2 linked regions of the Canis lupus familiaris genome follow. The protein of the gene in region 1 interacts with the protein of each later gene in a pairwise test. Links are inferred from orthologs where the notes say so. Each region holds a gene or a part of one and is shown on either strand. Other genes may lie near its edges.

Region 1 (8,780 bases):
TTTCTTTCTTTAAAAACTAACAGGAAATTCCCAAGACAACTAGTCTTTACTGTCTAATATCAGATTAGAAACAATTCACTTACTTCTGTGTCTACCCTAGTCAAGTAGAAAATTGAGCAATTATGTGTGTGTTTGCTTAAATTATGCAAACAATCGTCTTCATAGGCCACATTTTTTTGTTTTTATAGATCCAACTTATCTGACTTAAGTGGTTTATTTTTTTAGATCCATAGCATTAAAAATTTTTTTAAAATTTTTTAAAAATTTAATTCCGTATAGTTAACATACAGTGTTATATAGGTGTACAATGTAGCGACTCAACAATTCTATACATTACTCAGTGCTCATCAGAAGTGCACTCTTTAATCTCCATCACCTATTTCACACCCCCCTCACCACCCCCCCCCCCCAACACTGGTAACCATCAGTTTTTTCTCTGTAACTAAGAGTCCACTTCTTGGTTTGCCTTTTTGTTTTGTCCATTTGTTTCTCACATTGCACATATAAGTGAAATAATATGGTATTTGTCTTTCTCTGACAGATTTATTTCACTTAGCACTGTACTCTCTAACTCCATCCATGTTGTTGCAAATGATAATATTTCATTCTTTTTTATCATGGAATAATATTCTATTGTGTATATATACCACATCTTTATCTGTTCATCTATCAATGGACATTTGGGCTGCTTCCATATTTGCTTATTGTAAATAATACTGCAATAAACATAGGGGTGCATATATCCTTTGGACTTAGTGTTTTTGTATTTTGGGGGTAAATATCCAGTAATGTGATTACTGGATTATAGCATAGTTCTATTTTTATTTTTTTAAGGAACTTCCATATTATTTTCCACAGTGGGTGTTCCCATTTACAGTCCCACCAACAGTGCGAGAGGATTCTTTTTGGTCCACATCCTTGCCAACACTTGTTGTTTCGTGTGTTTTTGATTTTACCCATTCTGACAAGTGTGAGGTGATATTAGATTCTTAACTTTTTGATGAGGCTATTTTGATGGAGCAATATTGGTGCAGCTTTTTGATGACAAGACATTTTGATCACTTAAAAAAAAAGAAAATGTTATACTTACAGCTTTAAAATTATAATACTCCGTGTAGAACAGGCATCTTCACTCCTAGTCTCACCTATCACAACCCCACTCACAACAAATTTTTCCTTCTACAAAGATAGCAAAAGAAATTTTTAAAGATTTTATTTATTTGAGATTTTTTTAAAGACTGTATTTATTTATATGAGAGAGAGAGAGAGAGAGAGAGAAGGAGCAGGGGGAGGGGCAAAAGGAGAGGGAGAAGCAGACTTTCCGAGGAGCAGGGAACCCAAATGAGGTTTCATCAGAGACTCCAAGATCATGAACCAAATTGAGGGCAGATGCTTAATCGAGCCACCTGGGTGCCCCTTATTTATTTATTTGAGAGAGAGAGCACACACACGTGTGAGTGCACATGCAGGAGGAGGGACTTTTTTCTTTTAATTGTATTTATTTACAGCCAAAGAATTTTAACATTTCTAGAAACAAAACCTTGGAGGGAGAAGAATAAAAAGGACCTGAGAAAATACAACTCCAAGGAAGTAGGGTATTTCAGTTTTAATGCTTATTCTTGTAATACCCTCATCTTTGTAAATTTTGGGGGACTCTGGTTGATTTTGTGGAATACTGCTGGATGCTATGTTTCCCTTGTCCTAACACCATTGAGACTATGGAAAATCTGGGGCCAGTAACTTTAAAAGAAATTCATATTAATAAGCATACTGGAAAATAGAGTGTAATGTATATGAGCAACATTAAATGTGTAACAGGTGATCCAGGGATCAGACATAAAGTAAAATCATTTACAGAATCAGTTTATATCATTCAAATGTGACCGAACCCTCCCAGTTTCTCTGGTAAACTACGCTGAATTGTCTGTGTCTATTCCTTTCTATAGACTGGTGGAGCCTCATGATGCTACCTCATCTCCTGAATGCACACTGTCAGTCTTCCATAGTGTCATCTTCTGACAGTGTGTCATTGTGCTCAATAGAGCTTTCTTACTTTTATTTTTTCATTCATTTTCCTCCCAATTCCATAGGATGTGGACTTTGTGTTCTTGAAGTTTGGCACCTTTTTTTTTTTCTTTCCTTCATATTGTTTCCTGTATGGGCCAGAGAGATTTCCCATCTCCCCTGAATTTCTTCTCAGAATGAGTCCCTCAGACTCAAGTCTTCAATAACAGTCTATCTTATTAATTTTGGATTACTTTCTACTGAAGTTAATTTACATAATTCTAGTACAAAATCCAGTTTCAATGAAACAGAAAAGTGGAAGAGGTGATCAACAAGTTAGCAATTTATCAATAATTACCATGGACAATGCATGCACTGATTTTAAATGTCTGTTTTGGATCCACTTTTAAGGAGAGCAGATGTTAAATAAGCAAGGCACATATGTATAGGACAGTTCTAACAAGTGATTTAATAAAGCCACACCTTTTTTTAAAAAAAGATTTTATTAATTTATTCATGAGAATACAAGAGAGGAGAGAGAGAGAGAGGCAGAGACACAGGCAGAGGGAGAAGCAGGCTCCATGCAGGGAGTCTGACATGGGACTCGATCCTAGGTCTCCAGGATCATGCCCTGGGCTGAAGGCGGCGCTAAACCGCTGAGCCACCAGGGCTGCCCTAAAGCCACACCTTTTAGAAAAAAATTGTGGTTAAATATACATAGCACAAAAATTAGCATTTTAATACATAAGTGTACTGTGGCATTAAGTACATTCATGTGCAACTATCACCATCATCTATCTCCAGAATTTTTTACCATCCCTAAAGGAAACTCTGTATCCATGAAACACTAACTCCTCCTCCCTTGCAACTCCATTCTATTTTCTATGATTTTGACTACTTAGGTACCTCATACAAGTGGAATCATACCACATATGTCCTTTTGTCTCTGGCTTCACTTAGCATAACATCTACAAGATTCATACTGTTTGTTGGTTTGCAACCCTCTTGGGAGCTTCCCAGATGCAATCTGAAATCAGCCTCCTTAGGTGGAGGGCAAAGACTAAGAAAGAAGAGGTCACTCCAAGTTGATATGTAGCAGTTTTAATAAGCAGAGGGAACTTACATACATAAGAGGCTTGCCTTTAGTGACAAGACAAATAGATCTCCACACCCACCTGCCAAATCTTAAAAGCTTATTAGGAGGCCTTAACTGGGTTCATTTATAGTATACCCTGCCAGTGTTCTCAACATACTGTCTGAAGGCTATGTCCTTGGAGCAGCCTCTGGGAACAGGAAAGGCAAGTGGAACCCCATTCCAAGGACAGGGAGGGAGGGGGGGGTGAAGAGACTTCCAGTGCCTGGGTCTAGCCCTTGGGTCAACTGGCAGGTACGTCTTTTCAGTTACCTTCTCCAATACCGTTTCAAGTACTTTGCAAATATTAATTGGGATCCCTGGGTGGCGCAGCGGTTTGGCGCCTGCCTTTGGCCCAGGGCGCGATCCTGGAGACCCGGGATCGAATCCCACGTCGGGCTCCCGGTGCATGGAGCCTGCTTCTCCCTCTGCCTATGTCTCTGCCTCTCTCTCTCTCTCTCTCTCTCACTGTGTGCTTATCATAAATAAATAAAAATTAAAAAAAAAAGAATAAACTTTGTTTAAAAAAAAAAATTAATTCATATAATTATTCATCTTTGTAGATTCCCCAGGGTCTAGAAAGTGCTTTGAACGTGTCAGATGTAAAATATCCTGGTAAGACTTAAGCATTTCCAAGTGGCTCTGTTTGTTCTTCTGGTTGGAAAGTCACAAAAGGAGCCGGTCCTACTCGGGGCACCATGTGATGATGCTAGGGTGCAAGTTTAAAGAAGCCCTTTATTTTAGTCACATGTCGGCCAGTTTCCCACTAAGCGAAGCTATTCCTGGACGATAGAGACTATAGGAAGTGACCCAACGTAATTAAGGCTTTCCATTCCACAGAGACCCGCAATCACCTGGGAGAAGACTCAGGAAAGGGAAAGATACCCAGGCCGGGCGGCCCGGACAGGCCCACGTGGGAGCTGGACGGAGGAGGCGGGGCCTGCGGGGGCGGGGCCTGCGGGGGGCGGGGCCTGCGGGGGGGCGGGGCCTTCGGCGGGGCGGGGCGGGGCCTTCGGCGGAGCGGGGCGGGGCGCGCCACTGCGCCGGGCGGCGATGGCGGCGGACGGGGACTGGCAGGATTTCTATGAGTTCCAGGAGCCAGCCCGGAGCCTCCAGGACCAGGAGAACTGTAACGCGAGCCCCGAGGCCGGCGCAGGGCCGGGCGGGGGAGGCGACGGCTTCCCGGCGCTGGCCTGCAGCTTGGAGGAGAAGCTGAGCCTGTGTTTCCGCCCCTCGGGTCCGGGCGCCGAGCCCCCGAGGGCGGCAGTGCGGCCCATCACCGAGTGCAGCCTCCTGCAGGGGGACGAGTGAGTGCGGGCCCGGCGGGAGCGGGCGGGAGCCTCCCCTGCCCTCGCGCTGCCCTCGCCCTGCCCTCGCCCTGCCCTCTGGCCCTGGCTCGGCGGCCTCGGCGGGCTCCGGCCACAGGCCCCGCCCCCCGCCCTCCTTCCGCCTCCCGGGCCCGCGAGGCCCCGCCCTCCTTCCTGCCCCGCGGCGCTCCCTGGGGCTTGCGGCCCCGCGCGCCCTGCGATTTAAATCCCCCGCTCCCCTGCGCTCCCTCCCCCTGGTCCCCTGCCCTCCTCCTGCTCCCTGGAAACCCAGGGTCCCCAGGCGGGGTTCCGAGGGGAGCCTCCGTCCACGGAGCCGGGAGTTAGACGTTGCACCTCCTCGGGCACGTGTGTAGCCGCTCATTCATTCAACTAGAGTTTATTTTTATTTAAGCGCTTAGTGCCAGGGGCTGCTTCGGCAGGGAAGACCCAGGTGACGGCACGGACCCCTCTCTCGTAGGGCACAACGTAGGAAGGGGCCTGGATTTGTCAACAGATAATTTGGTGTGGCTGTGACAAATGCTGTCCTGGACATAACGTGCGAAACCCAGGAGATTGATTGATTGATTGATTGATTTATTTATTTATTTATTTAATTATTTTTTGATCTAGGAGATTTAAAAGGGGATGTGTGGGAGAGGCAGGAAAGACTTCATAGGGAAAGAAATGTGAAAACTGGATCCCGATGGATGAGTGGGAGTTTGGCAGATGAAGAAAAGTCTAGCTAGCATGACAGCTCGCCGGTGTGGCACGTGCAAAGGTACCAACGCTGAAGCAGCTCTTATGCCATAGGAATTTATTGGCTCCATCTGAGAGCCCAGGTGGCGTGCAGATCCCCACAGAGGCAAACACACACACACACACACACACACACAAAACAAAAACAACAACAACAACAACAACAAAAAACAAACGAAAGAAAGGCTGTGGTTATTAATAGCAAGGATCTCCTAGTCTGGTGGGACAAGGAATGCATTAACAGGTAGTTATTATACAATCATATAAGTGCAGTGATAGGATATTGATAGGGATTGGTGAGAGCTGCCTAAGGGGGAGGGAGGCAGAGTGCCTGGGAGGGGGCACTTTGTTTGACTGTCTGGAACCCCAGTTATAATTTGTCTAAAAATGGGTTGTGATTATGTACCACGGTTTCACCCCCAAAAGATTGTAAAAGGAATGGTGAGAGCAAAGGAGCTGAGCATATTGTATAGGTCTGGGGAAGCTGAGGGTGCAAGGAATGGAAAGGTCTGGGGAAGCTGAGGGTGCAAGGAATGGAATAAACACTGTGGAATAGGTAGGGATGGGTTTTTAGAGCCTTGATGGAATGGAGAGATTAGAGGTTAGGGAAGGATTCTTGAGAGAGAGAGAGAAGGATCCACAGGCATAGAAAGGGCCTTTCCGCCTGATGGCCTCCTTTCCTCTGTGAATATGGTAGGAAGCTTGAGAAGAGGGATTGGGGGGATGAGGGCCTGTGAACATGACTTAGTGGGTGTTCCACCCCAGCTAGGTTGGGGACCATATCATTTCATTGGCACCCGTGTACAGTGTTCCACCCAGTGTGAAGGGAAGAGTTTATGACTGGATTTTATACACGCACGAATGCAGCCAGTAGCAGAAGATGACATTTTGGAAAGTCTGTTCCTAGAGAAGATAGTTTTATATATATATGTAGATTTAGAGGCTCTGAGTCACTAGGACTCAGGACATCTTCTGAATTAAAAAATGATAGTTATGATGCATTTGGGTTTGTCAGACGTAACTCCTCAGAATAGATTTGTGGTTTGTACACAAATGCTAAGGTTCCCTATTTTTGCTTTGCCTGTACTGTCTAGAACGTAGTTTATTTTAGTCTCTGCTTAAATTTTAGGGTGATGTAAAGCTTGAAAAAATTTTTTTGTTACTCTTGATAATGGTTTTTAGTAGATGATATGTTGGTAGGAATTCATGGTTCTTGATTTCGGAATGTGTAACCTGTCTATTTCTCTCTCCAGGGGCCGGGTTGGTCACTGCTCACTGCCCCCTTTCTGTTGCATAAATCTCTCCATTGCTTGATAAGAGCAATGGGACTTTCCTTAGTACGACTCATTTGAAATACTGCTTAGAGTAATAGAGTTGGAAGCAATGTCTGTTACTCAAGCCTCTCATTTTATAGAAGGGTGGCTCTTAACTAGCATGGTTAAGGAACATGGCCAAAGACTCATGGCCCTGCTCCTCTCACTAGAGAGAGTTGAGAATTCTTTCACTCAGACATTGCATTGGTTTAGGGCACTTTATTTAATTTCTCTGAGCCCCACTTTTAGTTTTGGCTAACTCTGCATTGCGCTTATCTGCTACTGGTTTTACTTTAGAAGGGTATCATGTAGGATTCCATGTCACAGAACTTTGATCTCCCTGGAAAAGGGCTGTCCTGCTGGTTGTTTATGACTGATTGTAATACTTTATGATAAGGATAAAGGCAATTCATGTCTGTTCTGGAGAAATCTGGAAATCATTCACTTCAGTCAGCCCTGTGTCCTTCCTGCTATAATTGTTCTGACCTTGGTGGAGATAGAGGACTGTTAATTGTCCTTCACTTTCTTGGAAGGTGAAAATCACCCAGTCTCTTCTACTGGGTGAAATATTCCACTCCACTTGTCTTCTTCCAGCCTCAATTAAGGAGAAGCAAACAAGCAGTCCCCGAATCCTGGACTGTCTTCACCTGCTAGCATATCCTACTTGATTTCCTAAGCAGGGTTAGGTATATAGTCAGTTATTCAGTATTTGAGTATCTTTTATCCAGAAAGGTAGGGGTCAGAAAACCCATGAAGTTTAGCAGTCCAGAGTTGTTGCCTTCTATAGGAGTTTTTGGCATCGGAGAAGGTTGTGATTCTAACAGAGAGGAGAGTAGAAATGAACTATGCATATGGGAGATGTGCTGGGTAAACGAGCCAGTTTCCTAGAGCTTTTTGGGTTCACATTTTCATTGAGGCTAATATGCATTCCAAAGCCAAACATCATTTTTGGGATTTTATGTTTTTGGCACTTATGGTCCCATTACTTCGCTTTAGTACCAAATCCCAAATTCATTAAATCAAGTATATTGCTTCTTTATTTTTAAGCTTGCATTCTTATTTTTATGCCTCCAGTGGTCTAGTTCTTAGTGGCTTAGACACTTGGGAAAAAAACAAAACAAACAACAACCCAGTTATTTAATGCTTTTTTCCTCCTTATGACATCTATGTATTTCTGCCCATTAAATAACTTAATGTATGTAGTGTTTAACTTACCCAATTAAATTTAATCTCATTTATATCTCTGAAGTCATTTTTTAATACAGTGTCATGTTTTATTATGCTGTGATTACTTTGGTACTGAAATCTGAATTTTGGTCATGAAGTTGGAGTTAGCTGTCCTTATCCGGTGTGGCTTGGGACTTTCCTTAGTACAACTCATTTGAAATACTGCTTAGAGTAATAGAGTTGGAAGCAATGTCTGTTACTCAAGCCTCTCATTTTATAGAAGGGTAGCTCTTAACTAGCATGGTTAAGGAACATGGCCAAAGACTTATGGTTTGAAGAAGAATGGAAACGAGAGTCTATGTTTCCTGAATTTTAATCAAGCACCCTTTCGTTTTACTCTGTTGCTTCCCCAAAATGCTGTTTGACAATAAGGAAGTACCCTTCCATTGCATTGGCTACCTTTGTGCATTTTATTGTGAATGCCCCTTTCTTTCCTCTATTTTATCTGTCCTAGCCTATTATATTACAAAATAGATATTAAACTCCAGTCTCACATTGAGACTGAATCCTTTCTCCAGAAAGGACAACACATTTTTGGTTAGAGAAAGATTACTCACCCTATGAAATGATCAATATGTTTGGAAGTTACAGAAGAAAAATAAGTGTAAAACACAGCATATGTACTACCCATTTGGCTCTGGAAACATTACGTGAACTCCCTGTATTTTAATTTCCTCATCTTTAAAATGGGGTAATAACGGTTCTTCATAATACTGTTTTTGAGGATTAAATGAGTTAATATATATAAATTGCTTAGGACGGTGCCTGGCACCTAGTGTAGTGGAAATGTGAGCTGTCGATTTTGAGAGAGTTTTTAATACCACTGTGTCTTCCCTCAGCTCTTCTTGTCAGCCCAATTATCTGGTTTTCCTTTAGTCGTCTTTAGGAGGCTCTTCTTTGTTGGTGTTTTTCTGGAAAACAGTAGGCCTTCCATTGTTTTGCTTTGAAATGTCTTGTTCTTTCTTTCACTATAGTTGTATTTGTTTAATAAAAGACATGTGGGATGTTAACTATCATTGATTGTAGTTTTATTCTTTTTAA
Region 2 (8,523 bases), on another chromosome or scaffold:
CCACATAGCCAAAACAGTCTTAGAGAAAATAAAAAGAATGAAGCTAGAGGCATGGTACTTCCTGATTTCAGTGTAGTAAAAATGTATTACAAAGTTATAGTAATTAAAACAGTATGGTACTTGCACAAAGACAGACATATAAACCAATGGAACAGAATAGAGAGCCCAGAAATAAAGCCATGCATATATTGCCCTCTGATCTTTAACAGGGGTGCCAGGAATATACAACGGAGAAAAAAGATAGTCTTTTCAATAAATGATGTTGGGAAAACTAAACTTCAACATGTAAAAGAATAAAATTTAACCCTTACATTACACCATTTGCTATGGTGTATCAACTCAAAATGGATTGAAGACTTAAATGTAAGACCAGAAGCTGTAAAACTTATAGAAGAAGGTATAGGGAAGAAGCTTCATGATATAGATTGTGGCAGTAATTTTATGGATATGGCACCAAAAGCACAGACAGCAAAAGCAAAAAATAGACAAATAAGACTACATCAAACTAAAAACCTCCTGCACAGTAAACAATAGAATAAAAAGGCAGCCTACAGAATGGGAGAAGATATTGGCCAATTATAGATCTGATAAAGAGTGAACTTCCAAAATATATAAGGAATTCCCACACTCAATAACCAAACCCAATAATAACCCAATGAAAAATGGGCAAAGGACTTGAACAGACATTTCATCAAAAAAGATGTAGAGATGGCCAACAGATGTGTAAAAAGATGCTCAATGTGACTAATCATCAGGGGAATGCAAATCAAAACTGTAATGATTGGACAGCTATCATTGAAAAAAAAAGACAAGTGTTGGTGGGGATGTGAAGAAATTGGTACCCTTTTACTCTATTGGTGGGAAAGTAAAATTGTACAGCTGCTGTGGAAAACAGTATGGAGTTTCCTCAAAAAGTTAAAAATAGGTGCAACTGTCTGCCTCAGTAAAGCACGCAGCTCTTGATCTCAGGGTCTATGCCCACTGGGCATAGAGATTACTTTTAAAAAGTTAAAAACAAAAATACCATATGATCCAGCCACTGTACTTCTGGATATTTATCCAAAAGAATTGAAATCAGGACCTTGAAAAGATATGAGCACTCTCACATTCATTGCTGCATTATTCACAAGAGTCAAGATGTGGAAACAGCTTAAATGTGCATCAGCAGATGAATGGATAAACAGAAAATGTGTATATATATGCAGTGGAATATTATTCAGCCTTTAAAAAGAAAGAAATCCCACAATATGCCAGAGCATGAATGAACCATGTGGACGTTATACTAAGTGAAATAAGCCAGTCCTTCTGTGACTGAAATACTGTATGATTCCATTTATATGAGGCATCTAAGACTCATAGAAGCAAAGAATAGAATGGTGGTTGCAGGGGTGTCTGGGGAGAAGGGAGAAGGAGCAGCTGCTAATCAGCGGGTTTAGAATGTCAGTTATGTAAGATGAGTAAGTCTAGAGATCTGATGTATAATGTTGTGCCCATAGTTAACAATACTGTATTGTGCACTTATAAATCTGTTAAGAAGGTGTATTTCATATTTAGTGTTCTTACCACATTAAAAGAAAAAAAAGATGCACAATGAGAAAGCCAATAAACTGAAAAAAGAATTGAAATTTCAATAGCTTTTTAAAGAAATTGAAATAAATGATGATATACCATGAATCATTGCCTGGCCCTAAAGGCGTTTGAATTTGCAACCTGTATTGTATTGTCACTGGTATATGGCCTAGATGGGAGGATGGAACTAGGAGGCATGGATGAGATCATCCAGGGAATGTGTCTAGAGAGAGAAGAAAACTAGGTCAAGGACAGAAGTTTGGGGAAACACTTGAGGAAACAGATTCCCAAAGGAGCCTGATTAAGGATGAGAGAGGTTGAAGGGGAACCTGAGAAGTGTAATAGCATCAAATCCAGGGGAGCCGAAACATGAGAAGGAAGGAAGCAAGGGAGGGAGGGTGGGAGGAAGGAAGGAAGGAAGGGAGGGAGAGACTATCAAGTGTCTCTGTTCTGTGTTGTATGCCTCCAACCCGGAAGGGAGGCCCGCCCAGCTACAGACAGTACAGCTTAGACCAGACATCCCCAAGCTACCTTGGTTCACAATACCCTTGAGTATAAGTGGTTTTTTTTTTTTTTCACAGTGCTCCAAGGCCAAGAGAAATACCAAACAAGTTCCATGTATTAAGTATTTAGGTCCAAACATGTTAAGTATTTATGTCCTTAAAACTTAATAACCGTTTGAAAAAATACTATACCTAAAAGAAATTTTTAATCTATTTTTTTTATGTCATTCTTAACCACAATGACTCACTTATGGGATGTATGCCTCTGTTGGGCACTGTAAAACTTCACCAACCTTCTCAAACTGACACTCTCATTAACTGATCTACATTGATTTTTATACAGAACTTGCTTTTTATCACAGCAACTACAGTAAACCCGGCATGGAAAGAGAGGTCATTGGAAAAAATGTAGCTCTAGCTCATGTGAAATTGTGAACAGTCTCTAGCGGGCCATGCTCACAATGTCTGCTAGAGGTTGGTGTGCCCCATAGAACCCCCTATAGGTTTGCTGTGGTGCCCTGAGACACCTTGGCACAGAGTCTGGGAACTATGGGGTTAGACAATAGGAGCTGGTCTAGAATCCTGTCATTTATAACTGTGTTTCTATGGAGTCGTTTGGTCTGAAATCCATGTGACTAACCTACAAATGAATTTATGGAGTCTTGACTGGTTTCTGATTTGAGTAACTGCTACCCGCTAGTTGTCAGAGCTTTATACTAACTTGGGAAGTAGGATTACCTAAATAAATCCAAAGTTCAGTGCCTTCAGTGCTCTCCCCAAACCAGCCTTTCCCCAGAGTTTGCAAATATATTCTTCTCCTTTCTCTTGCCTTCCTCTGATTAGAAAAGAAACAGGGGAAAGGGGTGGGGAGGGAGTGAAAGGAGACAGTGACTGTCTAAAGCGGCCAAGGTGGGACTCAGCACCAGGGCACCTGAGACCTGACTATATACTCAAAGACCCTGCATGAGAAGCTCCGTTATCTAGCAGCTAGCAGCTCCATTCAAATAGCACATGAGGCTAGCCAGCGTGCACCTTGGGCAAGTCACCTAGCCTCTCTGGGCCTCTTTATGTGTGTGTGTGTGTGTGTGTGTGTGTGTGTGTGTGTGTGTGTGTGTGGCCTGTAGCAATACAAATATCATAATATATATTGAAAGAAGACTGAGAAATTGGATTAAACTTTTCCTAATATAAGCAATACCCTTCTAATGCTTTGCTCCTGTACAGACTCCATGATTTGAATGATGTCTGCTAAACCAGGTGCATTTATTTCAGAATAATTTGTTTCCCTGTTTTTATTTATCAAAGACCAAGGAACCCCTTATTAACAAAAGCAAACCACAGGGTTACCGCATCAAATTGATAAAATTATCTCCAGAAGCCAAAAACAACGCGGTGCTTCAGTGCATTTTTGTCACAAGCATATGAACAATTTGTATTTGACATCTTGAAACCGTGAAGCAGCACAGATGAGCACTCATGGCTCAGCCCACCGCCGGGTACCATGCTGGACCATCCCACCCCTTAAGGCCCTTTGCCCTCCACGATGCGGCCTCCTCTAACCAAGGAGGGGGGGGCAGCAAGAGGGAGCAAGGAGACACTGGCCCTGCCCTCCTGCGGCCACCATTCATGGCCAGCCTGGTGGTCCTGCTTACCCTGCCCCAGGGCGCTCAGGCTCAGCAGGCAACTCCCCAGGGTCCCTCTCCAAACCTTTGCCAGCAGAGGAGGGACACTTCAACCCCCGCCCCCCTTGCCCTCATCTGCCTTTGTCTGCGCTGCCAGCATGGGGGTGGCCGAAGCTGAGACCTGGAAGGCCCGAGGGCTGGATGAAAGAACCGTTTCACAAAGTCTCATTTCCCTGCCACAGCCCCGTCCCTGCTTTCAGGCCCAGCCCACGCTACCATCTAGAAAGAATCGTGGATTGCAGTGATTTTAGAGCAGGCAAGCACTCTGTATGAACTGCACCCACCCACAGCATATACGGCTCCCCACGCATAGCCTTCTCACTCATCGTGCCTTCTAGAAGCTAAGAGACAGGTTTCCCTTGGTCTTTGTTTCCTTCCCTGCCTTCTGCAGCCTGTCATTTGCTCCAACACCCCGGCGGGAGCATGTTAAGGCCAGCGGTGTCCCGTTTCTTCAACAGCCCGCGTACCTTGTACCTTGCCTCTCCTCATAAAGGCTGAAAATGCTCCTCTTTGATTTCCAAAGCCCCCAGCATGTTTATGCGGTGCCAGGAGGGGAAGCTTAGCTCTGGCTGGCTGGCTGGCGGTTTGTGCTAATTGTCTGGCTGCACTTTAGAAAGAGGCTTTTTGAATCTGAGCATTTAGGGAGAAAGTGGAGAAGCGTGGCTGTATGAAAGAGCAATTGATGTTAAATATTCATGCTCTGCTCTCTGTTAATCAAAATCAGTAACCCCCATTGCTTAGCTTCTGTCTTGCTGGCTTCTTACTATGATTGTGCTAAAGAAACTTGGATACAAAACAATGCCAACAACACACACACACACACACACACATACACACACCCCAAGATGTGGGTGCTTATGGGTTTGAAGTGTTTCCAGTTAACATTGTGCAACTCAGCATTGTCTGATTTCTCTGGGATGTTGAATGAGCCATAGTTATCCCTTCCATCAGCATTTTAGAACCACTATCCTCCCCTTTTTTGCTTCTCTCGTGTTGAATTCACCAAACTTTGCCCTTGCTTAAAATCAAGGCATTTTTTGGAAATAATTCTTAAAGTCAATCACAGTAAATCCTAGTTTATTTTTCGGAGATGATCAAATTATTTTACAAAATAGAGAAGAAATTGACTGTAATTCAACAAAAAATGGTGATAACATAGGTTGTTTTGGTTAACAACTTTAAGGTTATATTTCCTGGGCTTTTAGGAAATAAACATTTTATATTTTTGCTTGCTGATTTATTTCAAAAGAAGATGTAATACAACCACAGAAACTTTCCAAATAATCACTTAACTTAAAAGGAAAAGAAAAATAGCTCTTAAAGAAAAATTTTTTGTTTTATTTTGGTAGCTATATTTTTTTAAGTTTTCGATAATGAGCGTGTTTTAGCATTATAATAAAAATAATAAGTTATATGTTTTTTAAAAACTGAGCAGTAGCTGGATTTTATGTTTCAGAATTCATCAAGCTCTTCCTTACCTATGTCATCTGTAAGAGGAATGCTGGTGAATGTGTTGTCCTCCTCTTCCTCTTTGCTGGACCCGTCCATCTTGTTCACTTTTCTGGCCTGTTAGAAAAATGAGGACAGGGGAAACGACTGTTCTCCATGTGATCGCCCGTGTTAAATCATTAATAAGTGAGCGTCCACGCTCATTTTTTTATCTGATCCTTGCACTGGCCCCTTTCTTCCTGCTTTCCACCTGAGAGGTTCTTACCTGAACAGTGCAGTCCTAACCCGGAAATAGAGACCCAAGTTAAAGAGTTATAATCCTTTACCTGGAGCTGTTGAGCTAGCGTTACTGCTGTACCCTGGCCAAAAGCCAAACCTTACCTTCAGTCCAGTGACAGTTTGCTTGAGCTGAATTGCCCAGGAACATTGCCCAAAAGGCGCTAGAATGAGGCTGGGGGAAGAGATTAAATTTTATGTGGTTAGCATATTTTTGGGACACCAACCATAAATTTGTCAAGGATTTTGGTCGGTGACCTAGCAGCAGGACTCGGTCACAGAGCCTCAGTTTCCTGTCCTATATGATGACAAATCTTTTATAAGAATTAAGAGTGAGTAACATTCACTTGATAAACGTCAACCACAGTAATGATCACAAATCATCAGACGTATGCGAGGAAGTAAAATTCTCTATGTAGTGAGCTCATCAGTGCCCTCTCATATTACTGTGTTTGTACCTGACCCTATGAAGGCTTATTAAAATGATAGATCTCCTTTCTCTATCCTGGAGGAATCCAAGGGAGAGGATGGTAGCCTTGCCAGCCCTTAGGCCGATAGCCCTTTGTTAGAGGAGGAAGCATTCTTTTATAACTATTTTTCTTGGTCATCTCATCCATAGTCAGATATGTAGACAAACCCAAAACTATCTTAGAATGTCATGTCATCGCTCTTTCGGGTGGGGGGAGGGGAATAAATCAGCAAGTTTGATGAAGAATTTTAAGCAGATATCAAAATTGACTTACTACATAATAAGTTCTACCTTAAGTGCTTTGATACATAGGATTTTTTTTTTATTCACCTGAGTTCATTGTTACTATATCAAGCAAAATGGATGTGAGCTGTTGGAAATCCTGAATGTTAAAAATTAAATTCGCTAGAATAGAATTCCCTCTAATTTTCTAATGACAGTCTATAAATATTGAGTGCCTGTTCTATACAAGCTAGGGACTTTGGAGGGTTCAAAGTAACGGATGGTTATTGCTGTTAATAGGCTTATAAAAGAGCTCAAAGGCAAGAGTTCTGGAGGTTTATAAAAGGGAAAGAGTATGTCTGGCTAGCAGATCTTGAAAGGCTAGAGGCAGTGACATTTGAGATGCATGATCAATGACAAGTGGAATCCAATAGGCAAAAATGGCCACTGGTAAGCACTTTCTCAGTGAAGGAACATGGACAAAGACTCAGAGATGGGAAAAAAGTAAGCACATATGGGAACCAAGAGTGGAGGATGTACATAGCTAAGGCATAGGAGATAAGGATGAATATGGGGTAAGGCCATATCTAAGAGAGCGTTGAATGCCAGACTGTGTCCAGTCCTCTAAGAATTGGACACTTACATGGGATTAAAAGGGTGAGAAAAAATAGAGAAAGAGCAAAGGAAAGGCTGGGAGAGCCATCAGACAATGATGCAAGACTAACCCAGTGAGGAGAAACCAGGAGGGAAGGCCTAGCTTATCTTTCACGTTAAGGAAGTGTCAACAAGGTTGTCAAAGAATACTATAGTCAAAGCTGATCATAAGGGCAGTCCTGTGTCTCCTAGGACATTCCTGCAAGCACTTGCTCTTAACCTCTATATTAACTACTCCTAATAAAATTATTAGGCAGAGGATGGAAGAGAAGAATTAATTAACCTGGTAAAAGAATTTAGAAATCAAAGGGCACATTTGATTAAATTGCATATTTGGGTTTTATTTTATTTTATTTTATTGGGTTTTATTTTTATTATTCATGGCCAATTGTGCATTTTGCTAGAATTAGCCTATGTTCTTTGCCTTCTTTCGGATTATCTTTTTTTTTTTTTTTAAAAAAGGTCATTTGTTATGAAATATCTATCCTAATGGACAGGGGAATGAAAAGAGATAAAACTCAAGTCCATCAGCATTGCTACTATCTCCATAGTCTTTGGGCAATAGTTATGATGGAATGTTCACTTTTAACTGGAGTGCAGAATTACCTATGGGTTGGGCGCACCTGAGTGGCTCAGGGCACGATCCTGGAGTCTCAGGATCAAGTCTCACTTCAGGCTCCCGGCATGGAGCCTGCTTCTCCCTCTGTGTCTCTGCCTCTCTCTCTCTTTGTGTCTCTCATGAATAAATAAAATCTTTTTTAAAAAAAGAATTATCTATGGCCTGAAATTATCAATAGTGAATATTTCCCCCTATGTTTTCTCCTAATAGTTTTATTGTTTTGGCTCTCATATTTAAGTCATTGAACCATTTTCAGTATCATTTTTCTATGTGGAGTAAGGTAGGGATGCAGCTTCACTTCTTTGTATTTGGATATTTAGTTATCCCAACACCATTTGTTGAAGAGAACATTTTTTCCCTCATTGGATGGTTTTGGGATCTTTGTCAAAAATCAATTGGTTAAAAAAAAAAATCAATCGGTCATAGATGTTTGGGGTTAGTGTTGGAATCTCAGTTCTGTTCCATTGGTTTATATGTCTATCCTTATGTCAGTACTGCACTGCTTTGATTACTGTGGCTTTGTGGTAAGCTTTGAAATCAGGAAGTATGAGTACTCCAACTTTGTTTTTAAATAATGTTTTGACTATTTGGGGTCCCTTGAAATTTCAGATGAATTTGAAGATTGACATGGATCTGGCAATGTATTCCTGGATTTGACAGCAAAAACATGAGCAACGAATTAAAAATAACTTGGACTTCATAAAAATGTAAATAGTATGTACATCAAAGGACATTATCAGAATGTGGGAAGGCTATCTACAGAATGGGATAAAATACTTACAAATTGCATATTTGATAAGACTTCAATTTCTAGAATATATAAAGAACTCTTATGATTCAACAACAAAAAGAAAACCTAATTTTTAAAATGAGTGAAGAACATGAACAGATATTTCTCCAAAGAAGATATGTAAATAGCAAATAAACACATGAAAATATGTTAAATTTTATTGGTCATTAAGAAAATGCAAATCAAAACCACAGTGAGAGGGCAGCCCCGGTGGCACAGCGGTTTGGCGCCGCCTGCAGCCTAGGGCATGATCCTGGAGACCCGGGATCGAGTCCCACATCGGGCTCCCT

Evidence for each region.
Region 2: the proteins of FEZ2 (region 1) and SCOC interact in binary tests that used the Homo sapiens proteins (3 or more experiments, as listed by UniProt). The link is inferred for Canis lupus familiaris from reciprocal best matches to the Homo sapiens genes FEZ2 and SCOC.

What each region holds. Positions count from the first base shown.
Region 1 is NC_049238.1:29,240,054-29,248,833, reverse strand, and holds the start of FEZ2 (fasciculation and elongation protein zeta-2), read left to right. Parts: upstream 1-4,150; 5' UTR 4,151-4,189; coding exon 4,190-4,443; intron 4,444-8,780. UniProt on the Homo sapiens protein: Involved in axonal outgrowth and fasciculation.
Region 2 is NC_049240.1:3,207,557-3,216,079, forward strand, and holds the start of SCOC (short coiled-coil protein), read right to left. Parts: upstream 5,321-8,523; 5' UTR 5,303-5,320; coding exon 5,233-5,302; intron 1-5,232. UniProt on the Homo sapiens protein: Positive regulator of amino acid starvation-induced autophagy.